4 linked regions of the Diceros bicornis minor genome follow. The protein of the gene in region 3 binds, or shares a complex with, the protein of the main gene of each other region. Links are inferred from orthologs where the notes say so. Each region holds a gene or a part of one and is shown on either strand. Other genes may lie near its edges. The genes, in order: NRROS, ITGAV, TGFB1 and LRRC32.

Region 1 (7,806 bases), on a different chromosome or scaffold from region 3:
AATGCACTAACCATTTAAAAAATTTAGCACCCTAACCATTTTTAAGTGTATAGTTCAGTAGTGTTAAGTACATTTACATTGTTGTGCAACCAAACCCCTTCCTTTCCTAAGAAGTCCATGTTCATTTGGGTGGGACCTCAACTCCTGGCTCCAATGTGGGGCCTCTGAACAAGGCTGCGCCCATTAGAACCTCCTATTTCCCTAACCACAGTAACTAGTTTATAATGGGTACATCACAGGCACCAAGCTCTTGACAATCAATCCAAGGATTGTTGTTAGAACTACTAGGAAAGAGCCTTTTTCTTCTTGCTTCAGATGCTGAGCTGGTGGGAATTAAGCCTGGAGCCACAGGCAGCCATCTTTGCCACCAACTTCAGGACCTGCCTGATAATGAAGCCCACACAGAGGAAAGCAAAGCTGAGGAATAGAGACAGATGGATTCCTGGCATCCATTTGAACATCTGGATCCAGCCATGCCTGAAGCTATTTCCTATAGACTTTTTGGTTATTTGAAACAATAAATCTTCTTTTTTGCTGAAGCCAAACTGAGTTGAGTTTTTGTCATTTGCAACTAAGGGACCTTGAACTTAGGTTTACACTTGCTTGTGAGGCTTAATAAGACCCAAGTATCGATGTCCTATTTTCCCTTTCCTCACCTCTCTGAACTTTCAGAGATCATCACCTAACCTAGCCCAGAAACCCCCACACACTGAGCACATGACATCTGTTTGAATATAAAGTTGAGAATAATGGTTTGGGAGGAAGGGGAGAGATGAGTATAATAAAGAAATTCTACCAAAGGCAAAAATATTTGTCACCAATTGCAGACACATCGGTGAGCATCAGTGAGCATACAAGCGTGTCCTGAGAAAGATGAAGTTTTTCAGTCATGGTTGAAAGCCCACCCTCCCCTAACTTATGTGGTGATACTATGGATCTGAGCAAGATGTGAGACACAATAAGTTGTCCATCCAAGAGTCTACTGTGCACTTCATGATGTGGATGCACACTGCAGCCAGGACGCATGTTATAATCACTACCAACATCACACTTCCAAAAAAATCAAGAAGCCCAGAGACGGACAGGTCCATGCACTCCTAACACAGGCCCCAGGACAGAGACACTGGGAGCCTGCACTCTGTTTGGGAGGCTCCTGCTCTCCAATGACGGGTTTAAGGACAATGTGGGATCAGGTTTATGTGGGTTTTCATGAAGTTCCCATGAGGGCACCCATTAGATGAAAGCACTCTCTTTGTGAAACAGGTTTTTGTTTTCGTTTAACCTAAGGGCAAGAGTCAAGGTTTTCTTTTTTCTAGGCCCATCATTCTAGAATCCCCTCTAGGAACTCTCAGACATAGATGTACAAACCTACAGAAGTGTGTGAGGAAAATAAAGAAGTCTCAGGGCTATAAAACCCAGCAAATCACCAACATCCAAGAAACAGTGTGCAGCACAGCCAGTGGGTGAAGGGAGCCAGCTCTGTACACTCTGAATGTTTCCAACGGCCAGACTCCTAGTAAGTTGCACCCATCACGGAAGACACCTCCAGTGGAGTCCTCTCACTCCCCCTGGAAGCGCACCTCCCACGCACCTCCCAGGGCAAGCCCTACCCAGGGCTCCACTCTTAGGCCCTTGCCTCGGCCTCCCGGAGTCACGGCCGCCGCTGGGCACGTGTTCACCTTCTCTCAGGGGCCAGGTGAGCTGGCAGCCCATTCTGAGGGCGGCATGAGCCCAGTCAGTGGCTCCTTGCTTTTGTCAGCTCCTGAGTGCATGGGGATATACGCTGAACCCTCCAGAATCCGGCCCACATGGAAAGGCCGTGAGGGCCACAGAAAAGCACTGAACAACGGGTCAGAAAGGCCTGGGGTCGCCCTCTGGTACTTACTAGCTGTGGGTCCAAGTAACAGAGCCCTAGTGACTGTCCCAAGGACAAATGCTCTGTGGGGAAGGGGCTTTTCCTGTCTTCTTCACAGCTCTACCCCCACCCCCTTGAGCACGCCTGCACATGGAAGACATCCATAACTACGTGTCCCTGTTCATGGGGCTCAGTGTCTTCATCTATGAAATGGTGACTCTCAGTCCACGTTGTGGGCAACAAAAAAGACCCAAGCACTCAGCGTGCTGAGCGTTCACAGAGCAACCTCATTACAGCCAGTGCACCCAGGGAGGGAGCATTCTTGTTCCCATTCTCCCATTCTGCAGATGAAGAAACTGAGGCTCAGAACTTCTCCCCACGGAGCCAGGAATCAAACTCAGGTTCGACTCTGAAGCCCACGTTGTTTCCACTACCTCACGCCACCTGTCTCAGCGCTAAGTGCTCCTAGAGAGAGGTATTGCCACCCACACCCAGAGCCGTAGCCCCGGCACGGCGTGAAAGCAGTGGAGCCTGGATGCAGCACCCACAACTTCCCCATCAGCCCCCCAGCTGTGGGCCACACACGCTGACCTCCTACCGTCCCACCTCTCCGAGCTCGCCCACCTCCACGAGGGCCGCGGCTGCCCCGCGGGGAGGCGGCCACGCAGGAAATACTCACGGCTCCCGCAGGCCCAGGCGGCTCCGCGGGGCGCATCCTCTCCCGGGGCTCCGGCCTCCTCGAGAGCAGGCGAACGCGGGGCTGGGCTGCCTCCTCTCTCTGGAGCATCAGATTATTTTAGCACTTGCGGAAGGAACGGACGGAAACTGAAGTCACATGGAGAGCGAGCTGCTCAGCGACTCAGCACTCACAGAGAGCAGGCATCTTAGAGGGAACTGCGCTGCGGGTGGGTGGTGAGGGGGATGGGAGAGGGCGGGCTGACCGGCTGGAAGCGGTGCCCCCCGCCCCCAGCACCTGCTGGGTTAGTCTCAAAGGAAGTGGGATATGTTTATGGTCTCCCAGCAATGCTCATGAAGGCTCCCCAGCCTTTCTTGTCTTAGAGATTTCGAAGGGTGACGAGCTGCGGGCCCTTGCCTGTGAGCTCTGCTGACCCAGAAACTCTTCTCCAAGGTTGTGTCCAAGGGTCAAGCTGGGGCAGACTTTGGGAAAGAGGAGCACACACGTTTTCCAATTGGGAGAGAATTCACCTTCTGGGAGAGTCATCCACTCAGCTAGTCTTTATTAATAATCTCCCTTTTTATGTCCAGCCCATCAAAAAAAGAAAAAGAAATGGAATTGCTTTCGGGTGGACTGTCAGAGTGCCATGAACTTCTTGATCATAGGCTGCATGGATGAATTTTTTGTACCAGATGTGTACAATATTCCCTGCTAGCTCTTGCCGGGAATTCAAAAGAATAATTAAATTAATGATAGTCACCATCAGAGGGGCGCCAGGCACCATGCTTTGAGCTTTATGTGCATTATCTCATACTCCTGTTCTCAAGGAGCTTACATCTAGCGGAGAAGGCAAAATATTTACTGTGTTGGCGGCATGCCGGATGAGTAATGCAGACAGCCACGTTAGGGGAGTCAGAGAAGGGATCTCCAGTTCTGCTCCTTGCCATCGGATCTGGAGAGGTGAAGTGTCCTGGAGGGTTGGCTCACTCCTCTTGTAGCCTGTTGACTTGTGATTTGGTATAGCATTGTTATCTTGGCGTGTCCATCCTAAGAGAGCAGGAGCAAGTCCATCCTGCTCCAAACATCCAGCACATTGTCTCTGCTCCCTAAAATATTTATTCGTAGTTGTAATAATGATGACATTAATGCAAAAACTGAATAAAAGCCAAATTATCACAAACTAAGGTTCTCTTTCAGGTCTTTTTCTTCTCATGGTATGCACAATTTCTACTCCCATGTCTTTTGTGTCTACCAATATGTTGATAACTCCCAAATTTTAATCTCTATCTCCAACATTCTCTCCCAAGAAAGATCCAGACTTATGTTTTTAACTGTCTACTGGTAAATCAGCTCCTATATGTCTCAGAGTGGCCACAACAATTATGACAATGTGTCATAAACTGAACTCTTATACTTTGTCCTAGCTGGTTTCTCTCCCTGTTTGGCTGTCACTGTTGATGGCATGCCTCCATCTGGCCCTCACAGACCCCACCCATCACATCCAGTTGGTCATTCATTGCTGCTGATTTTAACTCGGAAATGTTTCTTGAATCCAAACCTACTCTTTATCCTTTATCAACTCATGTCTGGACCATTTCAGAAGCCTCCTTAAACTGGGCTCCGTGCTTCCAATGCATATTCCACTCAGTGGCCACGGGCATCTTTCTAAAATGTATATTGGATCATCTCACTCCTTGCTTAAAGCCCTTTCGTGGCTTGCCATCGCTTCTCTTACCTGGATCAGCAGTTTAACACCAGGTCCAGCAGGTTCAGGGGCACCTCAGAGATGCCAAGACCTGAGTATGCTCCAGGCACTCCATCTCCTCCTATCCCAAGCCATTCCACTTTCACATGTTTTATATTTTTTATAGAATTTCTTTTGAGAAAGACAGCTGCAACCCCTCAAAAAAACAGAAAATCAATGGTCTCAATGGATGTGTGGAGACAAGCCAGTTTGTTGGCGAATAGCACCAAGAGCTCTCCCTCTAGGCTATCAGCAAGCTGGCTCAGCAGGGAGAACTTAAGATTTCCAGCTGAAACAAGCGCTGATTTGCAGCTGAAAACAGAATATTTTTCATGCCAGCCCAACTGTAACCTTGACTGCACAGTTCAAGATTCTCCAACATGGTTGGGTGCTCTGGGGCCCCTCCCAACTGTGCTGCTCAAGGCAGAAGAGATTGGGGAACTGCCTCTGGAGCACAACCCATGGTGCATGCAGCCCTGCCCTGGCTGAGCACATCGCTCCATGGGATGGCGAGAATCTGGGGGACCGCATGCCTCTTTCTTTGAGCCTGCTGCATGCATTGTGGAGTTTATACCCATCCCCTGTTCAACCATAACAACGCTAAATTTAGTGTGAAGCAGCTCACCTGGATCTCCAAGGAGATCTGAGGTGGAAGCAAGGAGCTGGGCAATTCCCAGTGGAGGAGAAAGTCCAGAGGCCTCATTCAGCCTGATCTTGCCTCCAGCCTGTCTTCACTGTTACCTCCACACTTCAATATGTGGTCCACGAGTGGGTTTTATCCGGTCTTACCTGCTTACAGTTTTCCTAAACACAGAACCAATGCTCCCCACTCTTGCTCTGTCAGAGGTTGCCTTACTTGGAATAGCCTCTCCTGTGCCTACCCCAACCCTCCTCATCCCGAAGGCGTAGGTTGGGTCCCCTCCTCTGTGAAGCCTCCCCACTGAGTTCTCCACCTCTTCCTCTGAACACGTGGTACAAAGTGTCTACTGTATCCATGGGCCTCATGACATCTTTTGTATTGTGATTTAACTTTTAGGATTTCCATTTTGTTTCCTCAACTACACTCTAAAATTCTTGAGGGAAGGGGTCATGTGTTATTCCAAAAAGTATATTGCCCAATGCACATAAAGGGGCCCAGTAAATATTTGCTCAAAGAAGGAAGGAGGGAAGAGAAGGAAAGAAGAAGGGAAGGCAATAAAAAAGTGGTAGGGAATGAAATCAGTGGGAGCAGAGAGCGGACCAGATCAGGCAGGGCCTTGAGTCCATGGTAAGGACTCAGATTTGTATTTGTTAATTATGAAAAGGACTTCTTAATGACCAAGAAATGACTTTTCCCAAGTCATCTGGGAAGTGACTTAGAGCAGATGACTCTAGAGCAAACAACATTTTAATCTTCATTCATTTTAGAAACCTTTGCTGGGCACCGACGAGGTGCTAGACTAGGTATTGCTGGCTACTTTGTCTATGATTCTCTAGGTATTGCTTTCTGAGGGTTTTTTTCTTTCTTAAACTAAGCTTTATAATCGTTTGTCACAGGTACAACTTCTCAGTCTCCCAAAGAGATCAAAGGAACTTTGGCTTCTGTCTCCCCTCCCACTGCTTTTCCAGATGATAACCAGACACTATTCAGGACTGGGGAGGTGGGGATACCTACAGGAGAGACTATGAAGGGAGACACATCCGAGTTGGGGGCAAAGTATGCAAAGGATCCAGTGGGAGAAGTGAAGGTCAGCTTCCCTCCTCCAGATGGGTCTGTGAGAGAAGAGGACAACCCATTGTACCAGCAATGCAGTGGTGGGGTCTGCTTCTGGAACTGGCTCACCCCAGGTCCAAGATCTTGGTCCTCCCACCCTCACTGTGATGTTTTCCATTCTGCCTTGGGTTCTTAGCCCCTGGCCACAGACAGGGCAGCCCTTTCATCCGGCCCTTCACCTTCATGGCTGGGCCTGGCCCAACAGTGAACGAGCGCCTCCCCCGCTTTTCCCGGCACCAGCACATGACAGGGAGGGGATTTCCTTTGGGGCCTTAACTAGGAATTGTTCTCTTGCCCCACGTCAGCTGGCTGCTGGGGGAGAGTCTTCATTAGTTTCATTTCCCTCATTTGGAATGTAGTTTTTAAGAACCAAAAATCAAAAACGGAAAGAGGAGAGGCCACCACCCACATTGGTACCACTCAACCCCTCATGATGCCAGTCCTGGAATAGCTGAGGGGTCGGTGCAGAGGCTGAGGGCAAGTGAGGGTGGCTTGGCTGAAGGTCTTTCCTGGCATGTTTACTCCTCTTCTCTACCCACCTCGGTGGGGGTGGGTCTCAAATGCTGAGGTCAGCTCCTCTTGCTCCCTGTTGTCCGGGCAGGTGGGGGCTTATGTAGTTCACAACCTCTCCCAGGGTAATGAGCCCACGGCCTCCCTCAGCCACTAATTCCAGTGACTGACCTCTGTGGGGACCCTGCCTCTTCCTTTTCTGGAAACACTGACAGTATCAACATATGATCAAAGATTTAGTGTTCTGCAAAAATAACAAGATGCTCACAGAAGTATCCTGTCAGTACCAGGGCATGGCTGGCTGTGGAACATCGAGGGGAAGTGGCACACACAACAAACTGTGGTCCAGTTCAGGGCAGAATGGAAAGGAATCATGGAAAAAGGGGAACGAAGGACTGGGAGAGTTCATGTCACCTGGAACTGGTGGGAGACTTCCAGGAAAGCTTTCTGGAAGAGGTGGCATCTGACTGGATCCTCACAAGATGGGCCTGGGCGCGAGGTCGAAGACTAAAGAAGAGATAAGGAAGATGATGAATTGGAATGACGCCTGTCAAGGAGGAGAGCCTGTAGGAGAGATGATGGCATCTCTTTGTGTCTCTACAGGACTTTGTTCACGGTCCTGCCCAGTGCTGCCATCATCATTCACGTGGTACAGTTCTGTCTTTCCCCCAGGGCAGTGAGCCCTGGAAGGCAGGGACTGTGGTTTGTTCACATTTGTATGTATCCCCAGCAATACCTAATCTAGCACCTCGTTGGTGTCCAGCAAAAGTTTCTAAAATGAATGAAGATTAAAGTGTCATTTGCTCTAGAGTCACCTGCTCTAAGTCACTTCCCAGATGACTTGGGAGAAGTCATTTGTGGTCACTGAGAGGTCCTTTTTCATAATTGATGAATATAAATCTGAGTCCTTACCATGGGCTCAAGGCCTTGCCTGATCTACTCCCCTCTCTGCTCCCTCTAATTTCATTCCCCACCACTTTTCTCCTCACTTACTCCACTCAAAGCACGAAGTTCCCCTCCAGCTCCTCAGTTAAGCCACGCAGCCTTCTGTCTCAGGAGTTTAGCCATTCGCTCTTTCCTAGGCCGGGAATGCTCTCCTCCTCCCCCACATATCCACGCAGCGCACTCCCTAACTTGCTTTAGGCCTCTGCTCAAATGTCACCTCCTCAAAGAGGCCTTCCCTGACCACATTGTCTAAATAGCAGCCCCCCATCGCTTTCTTTTCCCTTTCTTTACTTTTTCTTAACAAAATTTTTTATTCATGTCAC
Region 2 (8,299 bases), on a different chromosome or scaffold from region 3:
TTCTCCACCAAAAAACATGACTTGACTTCTTGGCCTGTATACAATCTTTAAATTTTATGTAATTTAAATTTTTTGGCAATATAGTCACCATAAATTAACACATACAGGAAAAAATAGATAGAATGCTAATTTTTTATTTTTCGTGATTTTTAAATCACTATTTTTGTGACTTTTCACTTCAAACCTAAAACTCATTTCTGGAGAGATTTTCTTGAGTATTTTATCTTTCCTTCTCTTAATAAACACTGATTCATTAGTTTTCACAACAATATGGGAATAATTCAATAACAATTTTCTATAATAAAAAAAATGAGACATAAAACAATTCCATAGCTTGCCGGAGGTATCTAGACACCTACAGAAACCAGAACAGCCAGAGACCTTGTTAACTTTGCTTCCTCATTAATCCAGGCACTCTTCCTTCAGAAGAAAGGAATCTTTAATTAGCAAACACTTTTACATAATGTGAATTTTTTTCCTTTAGAAGTTTATGATCACACCAAATAACAACAACAATAAACACAACTGGTAATATTGCAAATGGCACCCCCATGTACCTTGCATTTCACTGCTTGTTAAATTTAAAAGTACCTTTTTACAAAATTAAGAATAATTTTGCATTAATCTTTGTTAAATCTGAAAAATTCAGCAAGCAGAAACCCTTGTTTATAAATATTTTGTTTTAAAAAAATCTCAAAGTTGATTTCTATTTTTTAAGTTAGGCTAGACCTAGAGGTCACTAGTCTACCAACAACAAAGTCACTGATGAAGATTTCAAAATATTATATGAAACCAAGCCAAGTTCAATTTTACCTTAGCACTGAAGGCGCCTCATGGGAGGTCATGTAAACCTGTGAGGTCATAGTATATTCAACAACTACAGTGACTACTCAAGAAGGATGAGCCATCCAGCCTTGTAACCAAAAACAGTAAATATCTCATGCCAACAGTTCAATATCACTGCATTTTCCATGGTAAAAACACTTAAAAGTTTATCATCTGGTTCTATATCTTTACACTGCTGAACTCAGAGGGTCGCCACAGAACCAAAAGCAACATTTGCAAAACACTCCATCAACTTTGAAGTATCTAAGTGCTAACTCTCGCTACTTTAAGTACTAACTCTTCACAAAAGACAACATATATTTTCAAAATTATTAGATTTTCTGTACAAATTAAGTCTAAGAGGGCACCCTTGGGAGCAACTAACATCGTCTGTACCATAAAGGTGTACACTTAAAAATATCTGGAAACAAAAATTTCTTAAATAACAGATAAGGCTGACAAATGATTAAATCAAATGAGAAGGTAGTAAATGTTGCTCAAGTTAATGATTATTTTTATTGTTTTGGAAAATCTGTACTCAGGTCTCACAGAAAGCACTGAACCTGGAAACAACAAAAGTGAGTTCACTACACAAAACTGTCTAGTTTCCACTCCCAACTGCTTCCAACCTACTTACTGCTGCACAGGTTGTCGCCAAGACGAATGATATTCAGCAACATTCAGAAAGAAGATAGGAATAAACCCTGCTGAATGTTCTAACAGTCATGGAAAAATATTTAGATCATCCTCAAATTAGGCATGGATGAACTGGAAAAATGGTCCTATCTAAATACCGACCATCAAAATTATCCTGTCTCCCCCCAAAAAGCAAAACCTCAAAATATAGAGAAAATTTAGAAACAAAAATATGTTGTTACAATTTCTAAGAGCTCAGAAAGAACACTAAGAACAGTTCTCCTTCTTGAAAACAAGATTTAAACATCAGAAGACAGCCAGTGAACACATTAAATCAGTATTTCTAACGCTAACTTGGGGGTGGGGTGGTGCGAATGATGTCAGCGTTCAGTAAAGTCAGAGACAATTTTTAATCCAATAATGACAATAACTCTGTTACAAACCCTAACGGTCTTTGCAACTCGAAACGTTGGCAATTTGAAAACATAACTGAATTCTTAAACACTGCAGTATTCAAATGACCTGTAGTGAATGAAAACTCAGCAAACACCCCTGTTCTTTCTGAACAATGACCTAAATAATGAATCACTATAAAAAGAACAGATGACACATTCAATTCATCTGTTCACCCTCAAATGTTCAGAGGTCTGGCAGTCCCAGAGATAAGACACAATGAATCTAGTACGACAGTATGGGCATTTTAGTCATCAGAACGTCTGGAAAAGGAGTAAAAGAGGAGAAACAATCACACAGAGAGGCGGAAAGAGTGGGGGAGGGCTTGTTTAGGGAGAGCGAAAAGGTCGGGTGTCTAAGTCTGTGAAGCAGAAAGACGACCGGGAAGGCTCACTGGTGCGGGAGAAAAAGAAGTTCGGAGATGAAATTGACCAAGTCCCGGACACTGGCAGAGGCGGCGCGGAGTCCCGCCCGACCAGCCTTTGTTGATTTCCCACTTGCCCCCAATTTTAAGCACAGGTCTGTTTCAAAGCTCTCCCTCGGAAGAGAGGAGGCGGGGGAACTGGGTGGTGGGTGCCGCGGGGGTTCATCTCCCCCAAATCTCATCCGCCCAGAATCTAAACCACCCTGTGGGGGGTGAGGGGGACGGACAGACAGACGCCCGGATCTCTCCCAGAGATCTTTCCCAGTGGGGAAACGCAGGGTGGGTGCGCGTGGGGGGAAGGGGGCCGAGTCCCCTCCCAAGTGCGGCCACTTACGAAGACGCGCTGGGCACGAAGAAATCCACCGCGAAGCCGAAGTAACTGCCCTCGGGGCCGGAGTACTCGGCAGGACTGTCCACGTCTAGGTTGAAGGCGCCGCAAAGAGGCAGCAGGAATCCGAGGAGAGGGAGCAGGAGGCGTTGGGGGCGAAAGCGCAGCCGCCGCGGCAGCGAGGCCATCGCCGAAGTGCGCGCGGGGCGCGGAGCCCGGAGCCGCGGCCACCCACCCCGGAGCGCACGGAGCCCTCGGCCCGCCGCCGGAGCGCGCCGAGACTTGCCGGCCGCTCGCTCCCGGCGGGTCCGGGACAGCGCCGGAGGCAGGAGGGCTGAGCCTCGGAGAGGCGCCTGGGGAGTGGGGCGCAGGGCGCGCGGGGCGGGGACAGCAGCGCGGGCGGCCCCTCGCCTCCCTCCCGCTCGGCCGCTCAGCGCAGCGTCTCGGGCTTGGGATTGCCGGGGTGAGCGCCGCACCCCCGACCCGAGAGCTGCCCCGGGCAGGGGGAGGAGGCAGAGCAGGGGGAGGAGCCGGCCCGGGAGGCTGGACCGCCGCGCAGGAGGAAGTGGAGGAGCAGAGGCGTCCTCCGACTGGGAGAGGCGAGCGCACTTCCGTGCGCGCTGTTACCTCCCGTCCCGAGAGCCGGGCGCCTGGGCCGAGGCCCCAGACCGTCAGAGCCCCGGGCGGCGGCCTCGCCCCCAGCCCCCGGAGGATGGGCGGAGGGTGGGAGCATGGTCGAGCGTCCCAACCCGCCCTCGGCCACCCGAGCGCCAAGGACACCCCACGTTCCCCGGTCCTGCTCGGCACTCCCGTGCGACATTTGTTTGAAAATGAGGAAAGCTTTATTCGCTTCTCGCGTTTATGCTGCTTAAAAGCCTGGCAGGGTCTCACGAACGAAACTCTATAATTAATGGTCGTTTTCCTCCCCACTCTATCCCACACGCAAACGCTGAACTTAATTATAAACTTCCAGAATGCTAGCATACCCTCTCCCAGGCGAGTTGTGTTCAAGAAGATCTTCAGGTCTACGAAAGAATTAGCAAGGCAAAGAATCAGCTGTAATCGTTCCCAATCAAGACAGACTAGTCGAAACCTTGTTCTTGATTTACCAGCTGAAGTTGTATGATTTCGGATAACTCGACTTAGGACATTTGGGTAGAGACATAATTTTGGAGTTGGAAGAAGGAATATGCACCATGGAAATAAGGCTCCTTGCTGTTGGAGGCTGCACCACGCCCAGGCCCCTGACGGCACACTGAGAGACTTCCTTGAGGGCAGGAACCTTGACCTTTTTCTTTATATTCCCAAATCCTAGCACCTTGCCAGGCAGATAACAAGCAATCAATGAAATGTTGAGTGAATGAATGGAGATGAAATGATGAGTAAGCTTTGCCCAGAGAAGTGACTTTCCCATATTGCGTATCACAGGCTAAAGAATTTGGTGAACAAGACTGAAAGTATAAATGCATTGTGTGGACCTTAAAAACTTACAAGTACTAGAAGAGTAATTTCAAATTGTTTTCCGGAAGTAGCTGTTAAAACTCAATCACTATGCATATTAACCTAAAGCTCTTAATTAATCCTGTGAAGGGATATGTATATAAATTGAAATGAAACATCTAATTTGAATTTATAGTACTTAATTGCGTTATATATTTTGATTTTTAAATTTGGCTAAAAGATATGCAGCAAAACCTTGGGCGTGTTTTACAAGCCATGGTCCAGCACTTGCCTAAAGGAAATTACTGTGTGAGACAGGCAAGCCTACACAAATACCTACATATAAATACAAACATTCCTTTCTCCTCACAGTCGTCCCTGGTACACCCAAGAGGCCGGTATGTACCCATAAACCCAAAGGGTCTTTTACGCCTTAAAAGCCTGAGAACCACTCCCTTTGGAAATCCATCCAGCTAGGGAGGGCAAAAGAGTGTGGGGGTTTAAACTCTGGCTGGGTCCAGTAAGCCTTTCCATTCCCCAGCTTCTGACCCAGGACAGAGGATCAACAGACCAGAGCAGGGGAGGAAAGAAAGAAGAGAAGTCCAAGGAAAGGAAGAAGCCAAAGCAATGGCAACACCCGTGTGTCCACCAAAACCTGAGTGAACTCAGGACCACATTTCTGTTAGGAGACAGTGAACCAGACTAACCCAGTGCCTTAAGGCACCCTGGGTTACACATGACTACCCTTTGTAATAGTGTAGTCATGCTTGAGCAGTCATGTGCCTAGAGCCTTGCAAACTGAGGGAGTTTATTACAGTACAAATCAATTCAGCCAGTGCTTATCCAGAATCCACAATGTGCTGGGTACTCTGTGCACGGGAAAGGGAAAAGCATATTTCATTCTACGGAAGAAAAGCTATGCCCCTCTCCCAGTCCTATGGCTCAACTGTTTAAACTATATTCGAACAATTTTCCAACTTAAAAGAGCTGCATAATATACCTACATTAAGTATAATCACTGTCCTACAGAGAAAATAAAATATTAGATAGTAGAAAGAATTCTGACATTGAATTTTACCCTCTACCCCTCTGTCCTTTAGCAAAAATCTTGATTCCATTGGTTTCTGTAAATTCAAATGCTGGAGTTCAATTCCTCGCTTCGCCAAGTGCTAGTTAGTTGTGTGACTCTGGGCAAATCACTCCAACCATTCTGTGCCTCAGTTTTCTTATCTATAAAATGGAAATGATGATAACACTTACCCTGTAGAATTGAACAGTGCTTGTTGCTGTTAATACTTCTACTATCCATTTAGTACAGCAGTCACAGGAAATTTGTAGGACTATTATTATACTCTCTTAGTTCTCCCGGTACCTATCCAACGGTGCCTTCCATAACCATCATCAAAACAGAGGTCCGCTTGGCTTTGTCTTTGCACAAAAAGAATCTCAGTCCAGTTACCCCAGAATAATTTAAGGGGAATTTCAGATTTTTTTCTCTCAAAGAACATCAAGGGGGATTCAGTTCATAATCCACGGAAACCCTTCTGAAATCCCCTTCTTCTACTCTCCATTTCGTCAGAGCCTTTAATCCCCTAAATCCAACCCTACGGTGTTTCTTGCTGTTGCTTTTTTGTCTGACTCCCTCCTGCCTCTCCTCTCTCAGCTACTTATTAAGGAGATGGCCTCTCGGACTTCGTCCCCACTCCCACCCCCAGTGCTGCCTTTTCCTATCTGGTCTGTATTACAAAAGATCTCAGCCAGCGCTGGTTGCTCATTGGGTGGGTAGAAGAGAAGAGAAGGGAGGCGGGAGACTTGCCTCCTTTCTGGGCTTTGCTTCCTAAGCTACCCCTTCAGTGTTAGGCTTGTCCAGGTCTCCGGCCTTGATTCACTGCATTCCTTGCTCTACATGTCCCCAGCGTGGTCTTATTCATCGTCATGCTCTCACCACTCCCCACCTCACAGAGTAGCTGTAGGCATATTAAATTAATTACTTACTCTTTCCCCAGAACGCCATCTTTGGTCACAGGGCTCTATCTTCCTAGAAAACATTAGCGCTGCCCCTTAACCACTTCCCCCAGCCTTCATCCTTCTGCCACATGCAAACCTACACAATGTCCTCTATCTGGCTGTTTCCTACTCTTCTTTCAAGATGTGTGTCAGGCATCATCATGTCCTTCAGGAAGCCTTCTATCAGGAACCATGCCTTATTGTCTTTGTATCGTCTGAGCTCAACACTGAGCTTCATGATGGAATTAGTTTTACTGTCCAGAGACTTAATAATAACTAACATTTTTATTAAGCTTACTTATTATGTGCTGGGCACTGTCCTAAGCATTTTGGTATATATTAAGTCATTTATTAGTCATAAAACCCTATCAGGTAGGCTCTATTAGTAGCCCCATTTTAAAGATAAAGAAACTGATTCTCTACAAGATTGAATAATTTTCCTAAGGTCACAAAGGTAGCATGGCAGAGGCAGATTTTGAACTTGTGATGGTCCAACTCCAAGCTCACGATCATTAGTACGAGGTTGCCTTTTACAGTACAAAAATACAAGAATAAACAAAGATAAAAGGGATGTAATATATTCAAAGTGATTGGAAAATTTACTTAACAGATTATCTTTACCCTTAATTAATCTGAATTTTTTACAGCATGTTTGCCAATAAAATATTTTAATCAAACTTTATTATTGATCGTATTTATCAAATTAGTTCCACTAGTTTGGCAAGGCTTGTCAAAGAAGAAGTTATGAAAGGGTAATTAAACAAAGCTTTCAGTAAAGACTAAAAATGGTCCTTATCTATTAAAGTTTTACTATGAAGAAAATAGTTGTAAGTGAATATTTTGTGGGGTTAATATGAAAGAGCAGAGACAATTTTGTATGTCTAGTCCCTCTGCTAATCTCTTCTCATCTCCTGACCTCCATATCCTTGTGGGTAAGAAAGGGAGCTGGTGATGATCTCCAAGGTCTTCTCCATCGCTGAGAGCCTGGGGCCTCGGTGACCTTCGCAGAGTAACTAGGGTGGTTGTTGACAGCCCCCCCCCCCAAAACAAAGTCATCTGGTCCCATTCAAATATCCTTCCCTCACATTAGGCAGAATAACATAAACTGGCTCACATCCATGAATATTGGGAATGAGAAAGGGAAATGTTTCAGGGCTGGCGTGGTGGTGTGGTGGTTAAGTTTGCATGCTCTGCTTCAGAGGCCTGGGTTCAGAGGTTCGGTTCCCAGGTGCAGACTTACACCACTCGTCAGCAGCCATGCTGTGGTGGCAACCCACACACAAAATAGAGGAAGACTGGCACAGATGTTAGCTCAGGGCCGATTTTCCTCACCAAACAAAAAAAGAAAAAGGGAATTGTTTCTCATCCTCAGCAATATATTTTCATAACAGTAGGAAGTCAATCATTTGTTGCCTTTAGATCAGACACTCCTTCCATATACTGGGAAAACTTAGTTACAAATTTAAGAAGTTTCAGATAAACGTTGGGGAAAATGTGGAAATATCTTAGTTCCTTTGTTTAAAGAACAAAATATAGATAACTAATCTTTTGAAGTTTCAAAAACAAAAATGCAACTCTTTTCTCCTGTCTTGTTTTTGTTTTTGTTTTTAAATGGGTTTAACTTAAATGGACTATTGCTTAATAGAAATATTTGCTATGCAGGAAGCTTCTTTTGATTTTTCCCCTCAGGACTGAGTATGTTGACAAGCCAAATAAAATAAGTACTGTCTTTTATCTCTAGCTTGATTAATAGATAACGTTTCACTATCTGAACATCTCCTTTTTCTCCAACATGCTTTCAGTTTACTCATTTCGCTTAAAAAATCTTGTTTTAAATTTTTCATCTTTTTTTTTTTTTTACTGAGGAAGATTCACCCAGAACTAACATCCATGCCAGTCTTCCTCTATGTTTTAGTATGTGGGCTGCCAGCACAGCATGGCTGCTAAGAGAACAATGTAGGTCCGCACTTGGGAACCAAACCCAGGCCGCCAAAGCGGAGTGTGCTGAACTTAACCATTAGGCAACCAAGGCTGGCCCTCATCTTTTCTTTTTAATACCATGTGCCTTAAAGGTCAAACTGAATAGACCATATTGATTACTGTTGTATAAAAATCCTAAGAATGTAACATATAGGAATGCCACAATTGAAAATTAACAATGACATCACTACATAACCTCAAGTGTG
Region 3 (7,337 bases):
GTCCTCTGCCTGCTCCCCAGGCCCTTTGGGTCCCTTTCCCAGCCAGGCCTGGCCCTGGAGAGGCTGAGGGGAGGCCTCCCCAGGCTGGCTCTAGAGTGCATGGGACCAGGGCAGAGGCCAGGGGTGGTGGGGGAGAGGGGAGCGTGGGGACCAGGGGGAGAGGGAGGTGACTTTGAAAGAGACAAATGAAGAGAGTCTTCAATCAGGAGGAAGCTGGGAGGGGCTTATGAGAGGGAGAGAGGCAGGGCTGGTAGCAGTTGGCAGGAAGGGCTCCTCAGCTGCTCAGAGGGGAAATGAGCATGCAGGCGGAGGATGGGTATCAGAAAACCTTTTCTGGTGGAAAATTTGGGTCATTAGAGAGGAGTGCATTCCAGGAAATAGCCTAGGTAAATATGCCATATATTTCAACAATATAAATAGTATTTACTGAGCGCCTGCAGGAGGACTGCAGAGGGTGAGGTGGCAGGGGACAGAGGACAGGCCACGCAGGGCCTTGAATGCCAGGCCGCAGAGCTGAGGCCGTCTCCTGAAGGCACTAGAGAGCCAGAGCAGGCGACTGACAAGTCAGATTTCGCTTTTAAAAGATCCTTCTGGCTGCCTTGTGAGTTTTGAGGTGAGGTAGGCAACAGTCCTTTCAGCTTTTAGGGACCCCAAGTCGCCCAGTATGGGCATCATCCTTGCCTCTTCTTTTCTCAACCCCCCATTCTGTCCATCAGGAGATCCCGTTGGCTCTACCTTTGAAATGCCAAACATCCCACCACTTCTCCCCTCTCCCTCCCACCCTCACCTTTTTCTACCCTCATGTCTCACCTGGGCTATTACAGTAGGCTCTTCAGTGATTTTTCCACCCCACCCTCCAGAGTCTGTCCCCCGGTGAACACCTAAGTCAGGTCACATTCCTCCTCTGCTCCGGGCCCTCCGGGTACCCCGTCTCACTCAGGGTAAAAGCCAGAGGCTTACCAGGAATCACAAGGCCCTGCGTGATCTGGCTCTGTCACCTCCTCCCCCTGCTCCCCTCTCAGTGGGCTCCAGCACCCTGGCCCCATCAGGCAGCTGCCTCCTCAAGGCTTTTGCCCTGGCTGTTCCCTCTGCTGGGAGCGCACTCCCCTACATGTCTACATGGCCCGCTCCCTTCTCTCCTTTAAGCATTTGCTCAAATGTCACCTTCTCCATGAACCTTTTCTTGATCACCTTCTTTCTAAAACTGCATCCCCACCATCCCGCCCCCCCCCCCCCCCGGCTTTATTTTTCTCCAGAGCTGTTATCACCACCTGACATACCCTATAATTTGCTTCTTTACTACGTTTGTTATCTAGGATGTCAGCTACACAAGGGCAGGAATTTTTGTCTGCTCTGCTCACTGCTGTGTCCCTCAGCTTCTAGAAGAGGGCCCAGCACTGAGGGGTTCAGAAAAGGGGGTGAATGGGGCCGGATCTCCAAGGGTTTTGCCTACCAGGCTGAGGAGCTGAACTGTATTCTAAGGACACTGGGAAACCTGTGGAAGGGGGAGAAAAGTGGAAGATGGATTGGAGGGGGAAGAAAAAGGGCCTTGAGCCCAGAGACAGGGACAGGGTGTGGCCATGGGGAGCAAAGGAAGGAGGTGTCCAGGACAAGGCCCAAGGTGCTCACTGGGGACTGGGCTGCCCTGAGATGGGCACATGGATGAGGAGGCCACAAAGAGGGAAGTCAGCAGAGGCCTGATCCAAAGGGTCTTGAATGTTGAGGTTGGACTTCATACTGAAGGCACCGGGGAGCCATGAAAGAGTTTTGAGCAGGGGAGGAACATGGATTCAGAAAGATCCCTTTGGCTGAGAGTCCAGAGAGGAGGCTGAGGCAGAAACCCAGGGGGGAAGGACTGGGCCTGGGGTCTCCAGGAACAGGAGGCTGGGCTTTACCCATCCCTCCTTTCCTCTCTCCCTCCTGTCCTGCAGGCTGGCCCCGGCTCCATCTCCAGGTGTGGTCCCAGGACAGCTTTGGCCGCTGCCAGCTTGCAGGCTACGGCTTTTGCCACGTGCCCAGCAGTCCAGGCACCCACCAGCTGGACTGCCCCACGTGGCGGCCCCTGGGCAGCTGGCGGGAGCAGCTGGCACGGGCCTTCGTGGGTGGCGGGCCTCAGCTGCTGCATGGGGATGCCATCTACAGTGGGGCCGACCGCTATCGCCTGCACACAGCTGCCGGTGGCACCGTGCACCTTGAGCTGGGCCTACTGCTGCGCCACTTCGACCGCTATGGCGTTGAATGTTGAGGGACCCTGCCTCCGACGGCCAACCCGCATCCACACCCCTGGACCCAGTGAGGGGCAGGATGGTACAGTGGTCAGAAGTGTGGGCTCTGGAGACTGTCACACCTGACCCCAGCCAAGGCATGGCGCAGCTTCTGTCCTGGCTACCACCTCAGCCCAGTGGCTGCCCTCTCAGGTCCAGTTTCCCCATCTGTAAAACCGGGGCAGTAAGCACGTGGGGTCACAGAGGGAGGGGTGAGAAGGGGCTGCTTGGCACATGGAAGTGCTCAATAAAGGAGAGCAGTTCCCACCAGTGTGGGTGCCTTCCTGACCTCCTTCATCTGTCGGATGTCCTGTGCCCCATCCTCCCCGACACCTGCCATCCTCAGGCCCCCACCTTCTGACAGACCCGCTACCGCCATCCTCTGCCTCAACCTCTGACTCCTCCCCACTCTGGGTTACCCTCTTATGACTGTCTCTCCTTGGGGGTCCCCCTCCTCTGTCCCCCTCTCCCCAGTGGGTCCCCGTCTTCTGGCTGACCCTGTCCCCTCTGCCTCAGCCTCCCACTCTCTCTGCCCGGGGTCCCCCTTCTCTGATCCCCTGTACGCTGTGTCCCCATCCTCTGATTAAGGCCAGGTCTTCATTTTCTCGCTGACCCGCACAGTCCTCAAAGCTACACGCATCCCGGTCGTTGGGAGCGCTTTGGTAGCGCTCGGCCGCCAGGAGGCAGCACCCTGTTTGTGGGGCGGAGCCGGGGTGCCCGCCCCCTCCCCCCAGGGCTTAAGGGACCCCCCTCGGAGCCCGCCCACGCGAGATGAGGACGGTGGCCCGGCCCCCCCATACCCTCCCCCTGGGGGCCGCCCCCGCCCCGCGCGCTTCCTGGGTGGGGCCGGGGCGGCTTCAAAACCCCCCGCCGCCCCAGCCGGTCCCCGCCGCCGCCGCCGCCGCCCTTCGCGCCCCGGTCGTCCCACCGTCTCCGCCCGCCGCGGCTCAGCCAGACAGCGAGGCCCCCGGCCGGGGCCAGGGGGGACGCCCCCTCCGGGGCACCCCCCGGCTCGGAGCGGCCCACGGGGCCGGCCTCGGCCCGGAGCGGAGGAAGGAGCCGCCGAGGAGCAGCCCGAGGCCCCAGAGTCTGAGACCAGCCGCCGCCGCCCCCGCCGCCGCCGCCGCCACTGCGAGGAGGAGGGGGAGGAGGAGCGGGAGGAGGGACGAGCTGGTTGGGAGAAGAGGAAAAAAAGTTTTGAGACTTTTCCGCTGCCGCTGGGAGCTGGAGGCGCGGGGACCGCTTGGCGCGGCGCTGCCCTGCGAGGAGGCAGGACTTGGGGACCCCAGACCGCCCCCCCACCGCCTCGGACTCTTGCTCCCTCTCTGGCCCCTACACGGCGTCCCCCAGGCGCCCTCATTCCGGACCAGCCCTCAGGAGCCGCAAACCCGACTCCCAAGAAGACCTGACCCAGACCTCGGGCGCACCCCCCTGCACGCCCTCTCCCCAGCCTCTCTCCTGAGCCCCTGCGCGCCCAAGGACCCTTCTCCGGGATCCGGGAGACGGGATCTCGCTCAGATCTGCCACAGCTCCCCTATTCAGGACCACCCACCTCTGGTACCAGATCTCGCCCATCTGGGTTTCTTCGGTGGGATACCGAGAAACCACCCATCAGAGCCTCCCCTCCACCGCCGCTCCGTTCTCCCTGCGGGCCTCAACTTTTCCCCCCAGACCCTCCTACCTTTCCTCGGGAGCCCCCCCAGCCCCTGTAGGGGTGGGGCCTCCCTCTTCCCACCCCAGCCCGGCTCGCGCTCTCGGCAGTGCCGGGGGGCGCCGCCTCCCCCATGCCGCCCTCCGGGCTGCGGCTGCTGCCGCTGCTGCTGCCGCTGCTGTGGCTACTAGTGCTGACGCCTGGCCGGCCAGCCGCCGGACTGTCCACCTGCAAGACCATCGACATGGAGCTGGTGAAGCGGAAGCGCATCGAGGCAATCCGCGGCCAGATCCTGTCCAAGCTTCGGCTCGCCACCCCCCCGAGCCAGGGGGAGGTTCCGCCCGGCCCGCTGCCCGAGGCCGTGCTGGCCCTTTACAACAGTACCCGCGACCGGGTGGCCGGGGAGAGCGCCGAGACGGAGCCCGAGCCCGAGGCGGACTACTACGCCAAGGAGGTCACCCGCGTGCTAATGGTGGAAACAAGCAAGGGTGAGCTCAGAGGGGCAGGGGACCCTGGAGGGGAGCCCCCAGGGGGCGCCGGAGTGCGGGGGTCATGGGGAGGAAAATACTGGCGGAGAAAACTGGCTGGAGGAAGAGGACCCCCGGGGGCGCCAGGAACGTGGGAGGGAGATCCCAAACAGGATAGGGCTGAGCTCCTTACCCCACCAGGTATCTGGTCTTGAAGAAGAGGAGATAGTGAGCCAAGTGGACCGCTTCTAGAGGGCGACAGGAACATGCGGGATCGTGGGGGAAGTCCCCTAGAGAGAGAGAAGCAATTCGGGGGAGGAATAGAAAAAGACTTCTCCCTCCAGGGTGCACTAGAATGCGGGGGTCGTGGGGTGGGGGGCTGCAGAGTGGGAGCCCTGTTTGGGAGACGGGAAGATCCCAGCATTTGGGAAAGGAGAGGCAGTGCGGAAAGCTGACCCAGAGCTCAGGGGTCGTGAGGCGGGGAGGTTCAAGAAGGACAGAAAAGCTGGGTGAAGCGAATCCCGGAGGTGTCAGGAAAGCGGAGAGTGGACCCGCTTGTGGAGGGCGCAAGGAGCACGCGGGATTGGGGGAGGGCCCAGAGAGAGAGAGACGGTGAGGAGGGTGTAAATTCGGGGAAGAAAGGGACGCGAGGTCGTAGGGAGGGGAAAGCTAGTGGGAGAGAAGCGGAGACCCCGGAGGGTGCCGGGGATGCGCGGGGAGGTGCCCTCAGTATTTCGCATGGGGACGTGAGAGGAAGCCCAGCAGAGGAAGCGAGCCCCCGGGGAACCTAGAATACTGGGTCGTGGGAAGGGGTTTACAGAGAGGGGAGACAAGCGTGGGAAAGGTGGACCCGGGAGGGGGGCGGAGGAGAGAGAGACGGTGCCGTGCTGGGAGCAGCGAGCCCCCCCTATGCCGCCGTATGGAAAGAAGTGAGCTCAGTGAGGAGTCGAGCCGTAGGGGGAGAAGTGGGTGGGTACGACTCTACAAGATCGGGGTGAGGAAACTGAGCTGGTAGGGGTGAAGAAGCCCCACGTGGGTGCCACGCGCGGGGGGAGGAGCCTGCGCTTCCGGAAGGAGGGAGGAGGACCCCGCAGAGCCAAAGGCTGAGAACCTGGACCCCAAACTCCCAGTTCCTCTCTGGGAGGCTGGGGAAACCCCAGCGTCCGGCCACCTCGCCCTCCCTCCCTCCCTTTCCTTCCCGTGCCCCGGGGGGGCGGGGATCGCGCGCGGAGCCTGGGGCGAGACGAGGCAGGTCGGGTCCCCGCCTTCGCGGCGGCGGCGCCTCCCGCCCTCTGCACCCCGGCTCGGGGCGGAGCTACCGCTGGGCCCGCCCTTTCGGCGCCCTAGCGGGGACCCAGGCGTCCCGGTGGGCGGGAGGTTGGGGGGCGGTCCCCCTGCTTTCATTTTCTCTCTTGGGCGGTGGACTTGTGGGTCCCTGACCCATTCGTGCGCTTAGTTTGCGGCTCCAGCCAAATGACGCTGCTCCCCACACACATCTCGGTCTCACCTTCTTTTCCGTCGTCGCTTCACCTTCGTTGTAGGGATTTCTCTAACACTGATAGTACCTTCGATCGCCTTCTGTCCTCCCGGACTGTCTCCATCTCGCCCGCAAACCCTGTGTCTCTCTTCCCGTGTGTGTCTGTCTCTCATCTCTTTGCATCCCCATTACTCTGTCTGTCCCTGTATGGGTCTCCCAGTCTGTGTCTCTCCATCTCTTCCCTCTCTCTCTCTCTCTTTTTCTCCTCCATACCCAATTCCTCTCCTCTCCCTGTCTCTGTGGTCTCTCCATCTCTCCCTCTGACCATTTCTGCTCCTCCTTTCTCTTTTCCTGCCTATCTGTCTCCCCGGCTGGGCTCTATCCTTCCTTTGGGGGTTGCTGAGTAACCCCTGGGCCAAGATAGGGCTTATTTGTGAGGGGTGGGGGCTGGCCTGGCTAGAGTGGGGGGGAGGAGGAGAATGGGGCCCACAGAAGGGGTTTCCTCCATTCTTTCTCATCAGATCCTGTCTCCACCATTTCGGCACCCCCACTGCTGAGGCCTAAAGCAGGTGACCCAGTTCATGCAGGAGTTCATGACCAACCCCGAACTTTTCCTAGGCTAGAACACACTCTTCCTAATTTTCTCCCCCCCAGAAGCCATTGCTACCTAGAATGAACTTTGCTTTCTAACCAGCTAATGGAGGAAGCAATTAATAATAATAATAAAATAAGAGCAATAATAACATCACATTAGCAAGGAGGCAGCATAGTCCAGGGGTTAAGAGCACAGTCTCTGGACAGACTGCCTGAGTTTGAATCCCCATTCTGCAGCTTCTTAGCCATGTGGCCTTGGGGCAAATGACTTAATCTCTTTGTGCCTCAGTTTCCCATCTATAAAATGCATATAATAATAGTGTCTTCCTCCCGGGGTTGTTATGAGGTTTAAATGTCTTAACCCTTGTAAAGGGCTTTGAATAGTGCCTGGCATGTAGTAAACGCTCTTTAACACACACATTAGAGTGAGCGCTGTACGCGGACTCTGTGCTATACGCTTTTATCTGCCCCAGCTCACTTATTTCACACTATAATCCTGCATTCGGTCCTTGTTTCATAGGTGAGAATCTGGCACAGAGAGAGGAATTCATTGGCCCAAAGTTACAACACAGCGCTTCGGTTAGGAGAGCCTGGGTTGGAAGGCGGGGAACTTGATGTCAAGTTGCTGTTTCCCAAAGAGTAGCAGGAAACCGAGGCTCCGAGAGGGAATGTGACTTGCCCAAGGTCACAGAGCTGGCAGGCAGCAGAGGCAGGGTCTGATCCAAATGCCCTTGATGCCTACGCTGCGTTATAACTTGCATTTGAGGCTGTAAGCACTGGGGAGGCCTGAGCAAGCAGAGCAGCCCCCTGGGTGCCAGCTTTGTACTGAGTGGGCACTTTACAGATGATGGGAGAGAAGAGTGGGTAGGACCCCATTTTACAGA
Region 4 (7,758 bases), on a different chromosome or scaffold from region 3:
CTTGCCTCAAATTAGCGCCGCCGTCAGGAGCTCACACGTGTCTGCTGCTGTCTCAGCCGGGCTGGCTCTGCTGCCGTTGTCATTAGCTGGGAGGTTACACTCTGTGACATCACGGGCCGTAACCAAACCCCATGGTGACAACCCTGGATCCTCAAGAAAAGGGGTTTAACCTTCAAATGGTTAAAACAGAGAAAAGTGGTGTGGCTCAAAGGGACAAACCCTCAGGTTCCCAGCAGCCCGAGCGCGGCAGAGAGCTGTGGTTTCACGGTCCGTGGCAGTCAAGCTGTGGAGACGCTTCTGAGCCTGCCCTGCGTGCTTCACCCAGTCTTGAGTTTTCTCACCTAACGTCCCCCCTCTCCCCGGGGGCCTCCGGGAGCCTCCAGACTCCTCAGCCCCAGACTCAGAGCCCGGAGCCTCCCGTGTGGGGGCCGAGGGATGCTCGGGGCCTCATGGGCACCGCTTTCCCTGCATTGGCTGCTCCAGGTGCCACAGTGAGGGGGTGACTCATGCCCCGCTGAGAACAGAAAACCAGCCAAGCCAGTCGCTGGCCATGCACAAGGGCCTTGTCGTCTGAGGACTCGGATGGGAATGGCTGCTTTGCCCTGCCCTGTTCGCTGTGTGACCATGGGCAAGTCACAGAATCCCTCTGAGCCTCAGTCCCTTTTCTGTAAAAGGGGTGCAACAATAGCCTCCCTCGTCAGATGAGGAGGAGGAGATAATTCAGGTAAAGTACCTGGCCCAGGCCTGGTCCTGTCAGCCCTCATCATTCCACTTAACACTTCAGCTAGTGCTCAGAGCAAGGGACGCACCACCTGTCCCTTTATAAGCGTTGGTTTCCCAAGCACCCATTGTTGCCTTTTGGCTCACAAACTCCCTACAGCTGACACCCAGCAACATTTGCTCTCCTTTCCTACTGGCCTCCAGGAGGTGACCCACAGCTGGTATGGTCTGAGCCCAGTCCCTGCAGGGAGCAAGGGAAGGAGGGCAGGAGAAGAACTGGGGAAGCCAGGGTTCTGCCCCAGAAGACAGGGCCCCAATACAGGCTGATAAGGAAACTCCCTGACTCCCAGGGGCCCACAGAGGTGCTGGGGAGGGGCAGGGAGTGAGGACAGTCATATCCTTGCACCAAGATCTGGCCTGGGGGTCCGGATACCTGGGTTCAATTCCTGGCTCCAAGGCTGTGTGACTTGGGCCAGTTACTTAACCTCTCTGAGCCTCAGTTTCCTAGTCAGTAATTGAGCATAAAGACACCTGGAAGGCTGTCTGTGGCTGTCCTGACCCTGATTTGCCACATGAGAGGAAGGATTGGCCCATGGTGGGTGTTCAGCAAAGAACGATGGAAACTAAATTGGGGGTCCGGGGTGCCATGAGGACAGCAAGGCTCAGAGAAGTTTAGTGACTTGTCCAAGGTCACACAAGATGTGCACATCATTGCCTCCCTGGGCCACTCACTCCTACTTGGGATCCTTGAGTTTGGGCCTGAGGCAAAACCCTGCCAGGGAGCCTTGAGCCTGACTTGGTACCTGAGGGTCTTTTCTCATCTCAGAAGGGTAGTCCAGGGGACACGGGAAAAGACGTGTCTCCCATCTTCCCCGACAGATACATAAGGAAAGAGAAGCATTTCCACAAAAGTACCAACACCGTGAAGACTGAGCTGCCCATTGGTGGGCTGTCCAGGAGGAGTCCCCATTCCCAAAGATGTGCAAGCAGAGCCAAGCAACACTGGACAGAAAGTTGGGCTTGGTAGCCTTTAAAAGAAAGCCGCCCTCCACATGGCTGCCAGGCAACCCAGCCCTGCTCAGGTCCAGCCTCTCCCCCGACTTCAGACCAAGCTCAGACCCCCGGACTCGGCCTTCGAGGCCTCTGGACCCAATCATCCCGTGTTCTCTTCTGCCTCTCATCTGGTCTGGGAGCTCCACAAGGGTAGGTCCTGGACACTTTTATTTACCAGCCATCTGGGGCCGCCAGGGAAGGGAGGTCACGTTTACTGAGCAAGGACCATGGGCCAGGCCCTGATCAGGTACTTTACATACATTGTTGCCTTTGATCTGCACGGCAAGCAGGGACAGCAGGTGCTCTTCCTAGTCTCACTTTGCAGATCAGCAAACTGAGGTCAGAAAGATCAAGCAACCTGCCACAAGCAAGACAGCAATGTGACCGCTGAAGAAGGGAAGAGACGAAGGAGGGGCACTGAGCACGTGGGGTTCCCGGCTTTCAGCCCCCAGTCCCGAGGGGCATCTGCAGCGGGTGGGCATGCTTGGTTGCCCATCTGTCTCCAACTCTTGGGGAGCCCCATCCGGGCACTGAGTGAGGTGGAACCCCGTGAACTAACTAACCACAACCGCAGCCTTTTGTGGGGGAGTGGGAGGCAGGCCACTCCCGCCCAGCCCCCCATAGCCTCAGCCCTGCCCAGCTCAGGCCCCAGCCCAAGCTCGCACCAGCCCAGCGGTTTCTGCTTGGCGGCCGCTCAGGGAAGGGTGGGGCATGCCCAGCCAGCCTGGGCCTGGATGTCGGGGAGCAGGTGGGACAGGAGAGCCCGGGACCTGCCTGAATCCCACTCAGCCGTGCTCTGCCCACCTGCAGGGCTGCCGCGAAGCACTTCCTGGACATTTGGCCCCTTGGACAAGGATCTGGAAAAGGAAGCCCACAGGGTACACAGCAAAAATAGCAGCAGCGGCTGCAACAAACAGTGAGGAATTACCTAACATCCACTGGGCGCAGGCTCCAGGCTGGGTCCGTTACACTCAGCTCTGGCATCAACTCCGAGAAGTAGTGACTATCTTCCCCACTTTACAGACAGGGAAACTGAGGTTCCTTTTGACCAGATGGAGCACTAGAGCCCAGAGACGGGGTTGGGATAACCGGCTGGGACCTCTTTGTGCACAGATCTGAGGCCTCCGGTGGCCGGGGGGGAGGGGTAGCTACGGACACCAGGTCCTCCAGCCTTTCCCACCCCTGCCCTCCGTGCAGCCCAGGCCCCTCCTGAGCGAAGCTTTCTCTGATCTGCTCTTCTGAGACTAGCTTAGGCCCTGAGCAACCCCATCACAGCTTGTCCTCTCTGGGCTGTCCCCATCTGCCCAGGCCCATCCCCACAGTGAGCCAGATGGGAGGGAGGGAAGAAAGCAGCCATCTAGGATCAGGGAACCCAGCTACTAAGCACAGCTTTACCCTGATTGACCACAAAGCTTTGGGTGGTCCCTTTCTCTCTGCAAAATGGGGCACCTGTGCCACTCTCAGGGCTGCGGACCATCAGGGAAGAGAAATTGTGGTAGAGGAATCCTCTTCCACCCTTGGAACCAGGGCCCAGAGGACAGCGTGACCCTCCTCCCCCAGCACCCCCATCCTCAGGTCCACACCCAGCGGGGCAGGGTCCCTGTGACGTGGTAGGGTCAAGGCATTGGAAAGAGGGGGTGGCTTTGGGGAAGACTGCCTCAACTTCTGATGTAAAAGACAATAATAGCACCACGCTACTTTTGCACAGCACTTGAAAACCATCCGAACAACATGGTGCCTGGAAAAGGGCTCTGTGGACAGATTGAGCTCAAATCCCTGCCTCTTACAGGCAGTGTGACTTTGCATATGTCACACTTTCCCAGACTCAGTTTCCCCAAATATAAATGAGGACCTTACCAGTCCCAGACAATTGGTTTTTATTTACATTTGCTGTGCTCATCCCTAGCCTGTTTCTGCATCTGAGAACTGAGGACTTGGGTGGTGCCGTTTCACAGGGCTGCTTAAGGGTCCGGGAGATGATGGAGGAGGACGGGTCTGGACACTAGAGCACAATCCACAGAGGGGAAGTGACCTGCCTGGATTCGCCAGAAGGGATGGCTGCAGGGTGGGGAACCCCCTCTGTGGCCGCCCCAGGGCCAGTGAAGGGTCATTTCCTTCCGCGTTCAGCCCCGCCGTCACCTCTCCTGTTTGCCCCCCCTAAGTGCAGCGGCGCCGGCAGCGGGGAAATCGTGGCCAGGCCGGATTTCCTCTGCGGACCTGCGCCTCCTAGAGCCACCCGCCCCTCCGGACCCCGTGGGGCCATGACCCGCACGTGCGGCGCCCAGCCGGCCTCGCTCGCACGGCGCTTCCTTAGCGACCCCGCTGCCTCCCCGCCCTTTCATTCCGCCCCCTTCGGCCCGCCCCTTCTCAGCCGGGGTTCCAGCGAAAAGAAGATGCTTCACCCGCTCGCGCGTTCCGCATCAACCGAGTCACACGGGGGCGCGCCGGCCGGCGCTAGGACCCCGCGGCCGGGCCGAGGGGGGCGTGGTGGGGCGGGTCGGCGGGAGAGGTATTTAAATTGGAGCCCGCGCCGCCCCCTCCCGGGTCGGCTCCCGTGGGGCAGCGGAGCGGCCGGCGCCTCCTCGGGCCGGGACCCCGGGGCTGGCGCGGCGGCACCGCGGGGTGGGCAGGTTTGCGCAAAATGTGCCCGGGAGAGGAGCGGCGGCCGCGCTGAGCCAGGTAGGAGCCGCCCCGGGGCGAGGCTGCCCGGCCCCTCGGGGCACCGGCTGTCCCTCCCCCGCGAGCACAGGGCGCGGAGCTGGGCTGCGGCGAGTCCCTCGGGACGCCGGTCCCCCCGCCCCCCAGCAGCCCCCTCCCGCCGCCGCCCCCACTGCGCTCAGGGGTGACCCTCCCTCAGCCCCAGAGGTCTCCCAGGCTCGCGTCTCAGCGGATCTTTCCCGGGAAGGGCGAGGCCGGTGGTCCCATTTGACAGATGGGAATACCAGGGCCGAAAGGCCGGCGCTTGCGGAACGCACGGCTAGTTCGGGGCAGACCAGGATTTGAATCCAGGTCTCGTACCGCCCTCGGACCCGGGCCGCGCGTGGGGCTTCCCAACCCACCGCACCAGAGAGCCTGCCCATCTGCCGGGGGCACCCACCTCTCTCTGAGGGGCTCCAAGCCAGCCTTCTTGGGTGATGAGATGTGAGGGATGTGAGGGTGATGAGATGTGAGCCCACCCCCACCCTGGGCTGCCTGAAATTCCGCCATCACAGCCACATTCCTTTGGGTTAAGGTCTAATTCCCCCGTGGGATGCACATGTCTCCAGAATGGGGCTTGCTCTCTGTGATTCACTGCTGGTGGGAACGTCCACAGCAGCTCTCCCAGGACCCCACTCTGCCAGTGATCCGGGCTGAGAAGAGGGAGAGGAGCACCCCGGAGCCCAGCGCTGTGAGCCTGTCTGCTTGGGTGTGAGTGTGTGTTCGGGGGTGTGGAGGGGATTGGAGGGGGTTACAGAGGGAGAGCTTGGCCTGGGGTAATGGAAACATATGCGTTGGAGGCACACAGACTGGATTCTGATCCCAACTCTGCTATTTACTGCCTGTGTGACTTTGGGTAAGTCACCTCTCTGAGCCTCATTCGACTCATGCACGAAACAAGGAAAATTCTGTAGGGGACGGGCAGCTCAGCACCTGCTGGGGAAACACAGCATTTGGCTTATACAGACCTGGCCCAAATCCCCAAGCACTTAGAAGCTGGGTAACTGTTGGGTCAGTTGCTTCACCTTTCTGAGCCTCAGTTTTCTCATCTGTAAAATGGAAATTATAGTAACTGCTTTATTGGGTTGTTGTGAGAATTAAGTGAGATGATTATAGGTCAAATGAATAGAAGAGTGTCTGACATCCTTATATAGTAGGGATGGGCTTATTATGATAGTAGGCCTTGCCCCCACCCCCATTTCTCTCTCTCTCTCTCTCTCTCTCTCACACACGCGCGCACACACACACACACACACACACACTCTCACACACATGCCCATTCTTTGGCATTTCTCCTCCCAATCAGTCCTGCGATGTCTCCTGCCTCCTCTGGCCTCGGCCACTTATCTGCAGGCCTGGGGCCTCCCTCCTCAGCGTGTCTGGCCTGGGCTGCTCAGCCTTGTGGGTCATTGTCCCAGCTGGGAAAGACAACACGTGTCCGGGCATCCTCAGCTTGATCATCACAATGGTTGGGGGCAGCCAGTGGCAGAATGGAACCAGGCTACTTGCCCTACAGAGGGAACCTGGAGGCACTGAAGGATTAACGGACTCGCCCCAGGGAGCAGGGCTGGTGAGCGTTAGAGTCTGCGTGTGATCCTGGGTCTCAGTGACCTCAGGCCTCCCTGGAGAGCGGGCAGCCCTCAAATGCTACCCACTCTCGGGGCACTGCTGCAGGGTGCCCACAGCTGAGGGGGCCCTGTCTGTCAGATGCCAGGGCAGGGTTCCACGGGCTGCAGGGACAGTCCCTGCTGGATGTGCAGATGCCCACCTTGGGGGTAGAGTGGGATGTAGCAAGCAGAGGAGCGGGGCCCGAGGGCCCCTTTGGGCCGCAGTGCCTTCAGGTTCAGAAGGTGTCCCGGTCCTTCCATGTCCTCACCTCGCACGTGGCACACAGCCCCCTGCAGTGCAGCTTCCGCCCCTAGCTTTGCCGTTTGTTCAGTGAGCACCACTTAATAGACCCCTCTTATCACAGAATGAGAAATAAATTATCAAGAAATGATCGATGCAAGGAAAACAATCAGACATGTGAGGATGTGGGGAAGAGCATTTAGGCGGAGGTCCTGAGGCAGGAGCGCACGTGTTGGACGAATGTGGGGAAAGCTGCAATCGGGCGAGGGAGGGGCGGTAGATGAAGTCAGCGGAGATTGGGTAAGGCCTGGGTTTTATTGGAGGTTTCCAAGCAGGCAGATTCATGGTCTGATGTGTGATTTAGAGACTTCACTCTGGCTGCTGTGAGGGACAGACTGGAGGGTCAGGGGTGAAGCAGAGTGTTGCCGAGGTCGAGGCCCAGGGCGGGGCCTCAGTCTGTGGCCGTGATGCAGGCGGGAGGCAGGCTGATCCTGGGGCTGTTTTTCGGGGACAGCAGACAGAACCCCTGTTGAGGGAAGGAGTATGGCAGGGAGCTGAAGGGAGGGTCAGGGAGAACAGCTGCTCTCACCAGTGTCACTGTGTCACCAACTCCTCGCGTCAATTCTCAGCACCTCCCCGGCCTGCCTGGTGGTGGAGATGGGTCCCAGAGGAGAGTGAACCCCTTCTGCCCTAGAGGTGTGGGGCCAAACCACAGAGTGCTCGGTGCTGTGCTCGCTGGAACCCCGGGGGCTGTGGGAACCTGGAGGAGGGACCATACACAGCCCAGATTTGGGGAACCAGAGAGGCCTTCTTGGAGGTGACATCTAAGCTGAGACCCAAAGGCTGAGGAAGTATTCCACACAAGAGAGGGGAGGAAGTGAAGGTGTGGGCCAGTGAAACAGTGCTCAGAGCACTGAAGGAAATAGGAGGCTTCCAGAACCCCGAGTGGGGAGGGGACAGTGAGAAATGAAGCTGGAGAGAAGAGCTGGTGGGCAGGGCTCGCTCCCTGAGGGCCTTGGAGGCCCCCCGAAGGGTTTCCACTCAATTCTGAGTATGCTTGCTTTCACATGGGCGTGATGTTCTTCTTTTTAAACAGTAGAACAAAATTTCCTGTGAAAGCCCGACCTGTGACGCAGGTGATAGGAGAGCGGCTGTGGGGTGTAGGGGCCCCTGGCACTGAGGGGACACCGTTGCAAAGACACCGCTGTGGCTCTTGCCTGTTTGAGCAAAACAGGAGCTCAGAGCAGCCACCTTCATTTAAAATTCATTGCAAGGAAGCTAGTGGGTTCCAGCAGTAACGACCCAGCCCTCAAAGGTCCTATAAATACCTCTTCTTCTGAAGCATCCTCAGGTCACAATTCAGTGCTCATTGACTGAGCACCTGTGGGAGACCTTATAGTGTAGAAGTTAAGGGCACAGACCCAGGAGGCAGACTTCCTG

Evidence for each region.
Region 1: the proteins of TGFB1 (region 3) and NRROS are in contact, whole or in part, in a cryo-EM structure (PDB 7Y1R), measured with the Homo sapiens proteins. The link is inferred for Diceros bicornis minor from reciprocal best matches to the Homo sapiens genes TGFB1 and NRROS. Residues at the interface, in NP_000651.3 of Homo sapiens: Leu30, Ser31, Thr32, Cys33, Thr35; in NP_940967.1 of Homo sapiens: Phe194, Glu195, Ile196, Glu197, Gly198, Gly199, Phe201, Leu210, Leu212, Pro218, Cys219, Ile220, Val221, Asp222, Phe223, Gly224, Leu225.
Region 2: the proteins of TGFB1 (region 3) and ITGAV are in contact, whole or in part, in a crystal structure (PDB 5FFO), measured with the Homo sapiens proteins. The link is inferred for Diceros bicornis minor from reciprocal best matches to the Homo sapiens genes TGFB1 and ITGAV. Residues at the interface, in NP_000651.3 of Homo sapiens: Gly242, Arg243, Arg244, Gly245; in NP_002201.2 of Homo sapiens: Asp178, Asp180, Phe207, Tyr208, Gln210, Ala245, Asp248.
Region 4: the proteins of TGFB1 (region 3) and LRRC32 are in contact, whole or in part, in a cryo-EM structure (PDB 8VSC), measured with the Homo sapiens proteins. The link is inferred for Diceros bicornis minor from reciprocal best matches to the Homo sapiens genes TGFB1 and LRRC32. Residues at the interface, in NP_000651.3 of Homo sapiens: Leu30, Ser31, Thr32, Cys33, Lys34, Pro325, Pro327, Tyr328, Ile329, Trp330, Ser331, Leu332, Thr334, Gln335, Tyr336, Val339, Leu342, His346, Ala353, Pro354; in NP_001122394.1 of Homo sapiens: Ser135, Tyr137, Glu158, Ser160, Thr162, Val184, Met186, Asp187, Ile188, Glu189, Asp190, Phe193, Leu202, Leu204, Arg206, Asn207, Ser208, Leu209, Thr210, Cys211, Ile212, Ser213, Asp214, Phe215, Ser216, Leu217, Leu223, Leu225, Cys227, Ser229.

Annotation. Positions count from the first base shown.
Region 1 is NC_080754.1:27,579,231-27,587,036, reverse strand, and holds the start of NRROS (transforming growth factor beta activator LRRC33), read right to left. Parts: upstream 3,127-7,806; 5' UTR 2,535-3,126; intron 1-2,534. UniProt on the Homo sapiens protein: Key regulator of transforming growth factor beta-1 (TGFB1) specifically required for microglia function in the nervous system.
Region 2 is NC_080749.1:65,928,078-65,936,376, reverse strand, and holds the start of ITGAV (integrin alpha-V), read right to left. Parts: upstream 3,158-8,299; 5' UTR 2,855-3,157; coding exon 2,673-2,854; intron 1-2,672.
Region 3 is NC_080773.1:15,350,846-15,358,182, reverse strand, and holds the start of TGFB1 (transforming growth factor beta-1 proprotein), read left to right. Parts: upstream 1-4,035; 5' UTR 4,036-4,048; coding exon 4,049-4,403; intron 4,404-7,337. Other genes in the region: B9D2 (B9 domain-containing protein 2), read left to right, coding at 1,932-2,245. UniProt on the Homo sapiens protein: Transforming growth factor beta-1 proprotein: Precursor of the Latency-associated peptide (LAP) and Transforming growth factor beta-1 (TGF-beta-1) chains, which constitute the regulatory and active subunit of TGF-beta-1, respectively.
Region 4 is NC_080746.1:54,671,528-54,679,285, forward strand, and holds the start of LRRC32 (transforming growth factor beta activator LRRC32), read left to right. Parts: upstream 1-4,364; 5' UTR 4,365-4,452; intron 4,453-7,758.